Regions from separate parts of the Mus musculus genome. Here region 1 is reported to be linked to region 2. Evidence: microRNA targets listed by miRTarBase, many of them from high-throughput screens and not tested one by one. Region 2 holds a microRNA gene; the other region holds the end of a gene's coding sequence.

Evidence for each region. Region 2 holds the annotated microRNA mmu-miR-409-3p (GAAUGUUGCUCGGUGAACCCCU, at 1,801-1,822, opposite strand). A microRNA usually pairs through its seed, bases 2 to 8, with sites in the 3' UTR of a target mRNA and lowers its output. Matches are read on the target gene's strand: a 7mer-m8 pairs with bases 2 to 8, a 7mer-A1 pairs with bases 2 to 7 and ends in A, and an 8mer does both.
Region 1: the mRNA of Fbxo41 is a reported target of mmu-miR-409-3p. Seed matches in the 3' UTR shown: 7mer-A1 at 2,665-2,671.

Annotation. Positions count from the first base shown.
Region 1 is chr6:85,470,193-85,473,192 of GRCm38, reverse strand. Fbxo41 (F-box protein 41) reads left to right here. Exons shown (of 13, transcript NM_001289675.1): 13 at 105-3,000. The coding sequence ends at 167. Among named protein-coding and RNA genes, the nearest start is that of Cct7, 20 kb to the right of the region's middle.
Region 2 is chr12:109,741,887-109,745,025 of GRCm38, reverse strand. Mir409 (microRNA 409) reads right to left here and starts at 1,868; the gene lies at 1,790-1,868. Mirg (miRNA containing gene) reads right to left here. Exons shown (of 8, transcript NR_028265.1): 4 at 2,736-2,964; 5 at 1,608-1,669; 6 at 1,179-1,360. Mir541 (microRNA 541) reads right to left here and starts at 2,617; the gene lies at 2,528-2,617. It overlaps Mir412 (microRNA 412), which reads right to left and starts at 1,737; the gene lies at 1,658-1,737. It also overlaps Mir369 and Mir410.

The DNA.
Region 1 (3,000 bases), not on the chromosome of region 2:
TGCCTTTTTAAGGCCACACAAGACCCCTTGGCTGGGGCTGTTGAAGGTGGCAGCAGTTTACCTGCCCAACCTAATGAGAGCTAACTTAGGGCCTTTGTCTGCAGGCCCTGCGTCGGAGGCCTGGCTTCTCGAAGATTCTGCACATCAAGGTAGAAGGTGGTTGCTAACCCGGGTGAGGGGCGGCAGGGCACCTGCCAGCCCCACACCAAGTGCTCTTTGGACCTCTGGAGAGGCCCTGGCTTGGACTAGACCTTTGGAGGCCTAGTGTTACCCCAGGTTCCAGACAGTGGTTGAATATCCTGTCCAGTTGGGACAGCAGTGACAGGTGACTCAGAGCACTGCCTCCCCGGGACAGGGGACTTGGAAAGAAGCTGCCCTGAGACACCTCTCCCCTCACATCCCCAGCTGGAATGGCCTGCTGGTACAGCCAGCAAGGAGCTGACACACCTGCTGCTGGTTGTCACTGCGCAGAGGATCTGCAGTAGCCACCCAGGGCCTCCTCAGCTGCTCAGGCAGGCCATCTCCTGGTCAGGAGCCAGATGGGGCTTAAAGCAGCTCAGACGTGGCAAGGAGGACTCTTCTCCCCTTTTCGTGACCGAGCCCTCTGTAAGGCCTTTCTTCCAGGTCCACATTCTCCAGTGATAATCTAGGCGAGCCTAGGAATCCAGGGACAAGGTTAGCTGAAAGTTGAGGCAGGGCCATAAGGGTGAATTTCAAAAGCTAAAATAAAATGTCTATAGAGTACACCAGGCAGGATGAGGCCTACACCTCCCCAGCAGGTAAAGTACTGGTCAGTTGGAGGAGGCTACTTCTCGCTACCACAATATAGAGCTAAGCTCAAAGCAGTCTCTATACAACTCCTTGCTTCGGGGATCACAGAGAGCAAGGGACCCAGCAAAGCCCTACAGTGAGAAGGGACCTCTTAACCCAGGCATTTCGGCAAGATCCCCAAAGGGAGGGGAGACCCCGGGCTACCTGCTGTGCTGGAGTTTGGGGGAGGGGGAGCTTGCTTGACCTAACTAGTGGCTTGAGAAGCCTTTGGCAAGGAGCCAGATCCTGGTGCTGAGGCGGAGGAATAATTTCCACAGCCTGTGTCTCTACAGTCCTGGGCTGAAACTATAGTAGGAGAATCCTTGTGATAGGGTGTCGCCGGCCCTTGCATCGTACCCAAGAAGTCTGGTCACCAAAGCCCCACTGGCTGAGCACACCTAACCGAATTCCTCTGCTCAGAACGTGGAGTGGCCGAGGCCATGAGTCTTGGCAGCCCTCATTTGGGCAGATCTTTCAAACGCCTGGTTTGTCGTCCACATCTTAGGGTTTTCTTTGCTCCTTTGTAAGGTGGGATCCTCTTGCCAGTTTTCTCCAGCTGTGCCACACCCTGGACTGGGTGCAAACCCATCTGTATGTTGCTGCCACACAAGTCCCTTCCATTGCTGCACAGCCTCCAGCTCGATGCTCCCCGATCCTATAGCCCTGTCCCAGTTTATCATCATCGCTGAGTTGCGTGGCTTGCTCTGTACCTGCTCTTTACACACTGAAATGCCAAGGCTGTCAGTGCTGGATACTCCATGCCTAGTCCTGCATGAAACCTTGGCTGTGTGGTATCTATGCCCCTACCTCTCACAGCTGCCTCCCGTTACTCCCACCTCCCCAGCCTTGTCCCCAAGGAGTCACAGGCAACAGCACAACTTTCCTCTCCTTCTGTGACCCAGAAGGGAGGTGGAGGTGCACTTGGGCCCCAGCTGCCTTTAGTAGGTCAGTTGTTTTGCCAGCTGCATCCATGTAGCTCCTGCTCCCTGTGACTCTTAAGACCAGAGGTGCTGCCCTTCCTGTCTCTTGGATAAAGCACAAAGTAATGTAGCTGGCCAAGCCTGCCAGCAGGGGCTTCTGTTTCACAATCCTAGGATTTGGACATCTCCCTGGGCAGGGGAGGCACTAGAATGCCTGGGTGCACAGGGTTGCACAGCCATCAGGGCAGGAGGCAGGACCAAGATGCTGGTTCCAGGCATTCTGACCCACGGACAGGGAAACCTACCCCTAAGAAGTCTCACCTGTGTTCTTGCTCTGAGTAAAGGTGAGTAAAGTGAAAATTGCAGACCTAAGCCTTTACCAACCTAAGTGACAGGTCACTGTGTCCTGGCTGAGTCTTGGGCATCTTAGTCTTCAGGCATGCGGAGAGCCAGCAGCTCTGTCTCCAAGTTGTGGTTTCTTTGCTTTCTCCAAAGGGGGCCATCCCTGCTTCTGGGTGCTGTGCTCATTTCTATCTTGAGCAGTCACAGAGCCAATGGGGATAGGGTGGGTGCCTGGCTTCCTTAGAAGCACCTCAGCCTTTCTTCAGCCACTCAAAGGGAAGAGGGAAGCCCTCTGCGTCTCATACTTAAGTAAGGCACAGAAAACTCGCGTGGGCATGCCCTGCTCCAGAAGCACTGGGTCAATGGAGAAGAAGGCTCACAGGTGGCAGCCACTTGCCATCTCTTCCACTCCCATCCCCTGCCAAACAGCACGTGTAAATTGGGGCATGGTTTGGCTTGAGTACTTCATGCTTATGCAGGCTGCTTTTCCCCACAGTTATGGCAAAAAATGTATGCACCTTGCCCAGAACACCAGCTTTCCACCCATCGAGAGAGTACCCTAAAATTAGGCTTTTCTTTTAAAAAAAAAAAAAACATTAACAGAGGCTAAATCGGCCTCAGGAATTGCATCAGAAACTTAACAGGCCTCTTTCCCAAGGCCTGCTGCTCTGTCACCAGCCCTGATCTTGAATGCAGAACACAGGCAATAAGCTGTCAACCCCAGTCTCTGTAAGGCACGATGTTGAAGGAAAACTTCCCAGAATTGACAGCTGGTGCCAAAGACATAGTTCCTGGTGAACTTGGAGAGGTGAGACTTCAGTGCCCTCTGGAGTTGTTAAGCACTGGTGGGGCCTACCCTAGCCACCAGCTTGATGACTTGGCAGTCTCGCTGCCCTTGGTGGCCCTGCTTTCTCATCCAGCCTTGGCT
Region 2 (3,139 bases):
AGACTCTAGGTCAAGCCTCTACAGTAAGCTCACAGGAGTCTGACAGAGCCAGAGTGTTAAGTTGGAGGAAACATGAAGAAGTGCAGGCTACATTGGACACGCAGACTTTGTGTGCCCCGGTACAGGGGAACGCCAGGGCCAAAGGGGGGGAGTGGGTGGGTAGGGGAGTGGGGGTGGGTGGGTAAGGGGGACTTTTGGTATAGCATTGGAAATGTAAATGAGCTAAATACCTAATAAAAAAAAAATGAAAAAAAAAAAAAAAATAAAAAAAAAAAAAAAAAAAAAGAAGTGCAGGCTAATCCCTACTGGGCCCCCTGTGCTCGTGAAGCAGGGACAGAGCTTGGGTATCACTGCCTTGTAGACTCAGGAGGACATTCTGTGCTATTTCCAACAGGGTGGCACTGAGGACAAGACAGGCCAAGGGATGGTCTCACATACAGACTAGAGAGTCAACCAACACAAAGGCTTCAGTTCTTGGCATCAATGCCTCAAAGTAGAAATGGTCTAGGGTAGGACATGGTGCAGAGAAGTAGGCTGTGGGATAGTCATCAGATAGAAAACAAACGTCTCAGAGACAAGCTAGCTCAGGTACCACCAGCACGGACTCTACTTAGGATGCTTCTTCCTCTAAGATGCCCTTCTGGACTTCCCAACCCCCACCTCAGGAGATGTGAGGCTCTGGGTCAGGATGAGTCAGCTACATGCCTGACCATCAGTGGTGTCCAGTGGGTCAGCAAAGTGTGTCCCTCCCCTGACACCCATGCTCACACAGTAAGAGCCAATGATAAAGAGAGGTGACCATGCACTGTACCAGCATTAAGAATGGAAACCCGTCACGGGCAATCTCACCTCAGATACTAGGAACTGCACGTGTAACCAACTGGCCTGGCTCTTCCCTAAGTATCATGCTAGCCCCTCCAAGCCCTCATGGTATTGAGAAGCACCCAGGGTACAGGGCATTTGAGCATGCAGCCCTCGGTGGAAGCCTTAGACAGGGACAAACACCCATTGTTGTGGCGGGAAAGAGGCATGGAAAGTGGACAGCCATCCATTGCACATCTGGCCAATGCTTCGTGGCCCAGCCTACAAGGTTGGTGCGATCCCAGGAGGCTCCTCAGAGCTGAGGTTCAGTGAAGAGGGGGTGACAAGCGTCATACAGAGTCCATGCATTTACCTACCGGGCAGTGGTGTGACACCTGGTATGTACTGCCGAGTGACCGGAGTGGCAGGTGGTATTGAAAACAGGCCATCTGTGTTATATTCGTCATTAATAAAGCGAACTCATCACAGACAACCTCTCCTCAAGTACCCAGTGTTGACCGCAGCAACCCTGGAGCTGGAATCACCACCTGAAGCTGTCCTGGGGGGAAGGGGGGGATTGCATATAAATGGTGAGTAGGGTTGACACAGGCAGCACACAGCCTGTTCCACCCAGCCCAGTTCCCCGCGGAGGCAGCAACCTAGAAGCACCATGCTGTCCCCACCCCCACAGGGGCTGCAACTCCAAGAGCTTCTCCAAGCTGAGCGTTGATACTGAGAAAAGATCAACCATGTATTATTCGAAGTCAGCCAAGCGAATATAACACGGTCGATCTCCCTTCAAGTACCAGCAGAGGTGTTGAGCTGAGGCTGTGACATCCTGGGCGCAGGCTGCAGCGGGCACCGACGGCTAGTGGACCAGGTGAAGTACATTAGAAACAATTACTTTCCAGCTGGTCGACCATCCGTCCCATACCCCAGAGCGAGATGAGTCCATGGTCTTCCCTGAGGTGGCCTCCCTGGAGGGATTTGATACCGAAAAGGGGTTCACCGAGCAACATTCGTCCTCCAGATGCAAAGTTGCTCGGGTAACCTCTCTCCGAGTACCACGGAGAGGCTCGGATGCTCAGAACGAGGCCGATGGCTGAGTTTCCAGAAGAACCATCCTGGAGCCCCTCAGAGATTATAACTCCCCATTCAGTGAGGAGCCACCCTCCACCACGTGAAAGCAATTATTCCATCACCTCCCCAGTGCAATCTACCACCCTTTCACCTTCCAAGAATATCTAAAGCCTTCCCAGACAACCTTGAGACCCAGGTAGCGAGGAGCTGACTCGGGGCAGAAGTGGGTGCAGAACTCTGCTTACTCTATCTCTCCTTTGTAAGCTGGAGATAGGGAGATGCTGAGACCCTGCGCATATACCACACCACCCTCCCAGAGACGATGCCTTCCAGAAGCGAGGAGGCAATGACTGCATCATCCAGAGATGCTCCTCCTTGGGCCCACCCAACCACTGCAGCCCCACGACCCTGGCATCCCCGCCCTGTCACCTGCCCCCTCCCCCCACGGTGATGTCATAGCAAGAACTGCTTGACCATCCAGTCCTATAAACCAAGCAAGTAATGCTTCAAAGATAAACATGGAGGGAGGAGAGAAAGAACAGCGGAAGGAGATCCCGCAGGGTCCCCTTGTGCCAGTGTGTATGGCTGCCCCGCACGAGCACGCCAGGGAGGGCTCTCCAGTAAGGGTCAGGATCCATTGACTTAGGCCATAAGCAGAGTATGGATTCTGTGTTCGCCACTCATTTTAAAACTCTTGGAGTGTGACCAACATCAGAATCCCTTCTCTGATTTTGGCAAGAGTTCACACAGGCTTCTAGCCTTGCTGCAGGGCAGCAAGAGACTGGTCACATGCAGTGTGTCATACGGGGAAAAGACGCCACGGGCAGCTTCATGTAGGTGTTCTGGAAACTGACCTGTGGGACAGAGGCTCTTTCCCCAGCTGGCATCACCTCCTGGAAATGCTCCTAAGAGGCACACAATGGCGATGATGGTGGCTAACGGTAGCTACAAGATCCAGTCAACAGTATGGGGAGGGAAGCTTGTCCAGGTTCTTCCTCCAAGCACTTGTCCTGGAGAGAGCTCCAGCCACTGACCAGTTCCAAGACAATGATGTAGCCTCTGGAGTCCTTTGAGGTAAAGATCCTTTTGGAAAGAGAGCCACCATGAAACCTGGTGCTCATCACACCCCAGATAGTATATTAGACCCTGGATACATCCACTCTAAAATGACCTCCCGTACGGGCCTAGCCCTTCAGCACCAACAATGGGTACGTCTTTAAGCCTAGCCCTGGGAGCTGGCAACATGGAAACCCAAGGA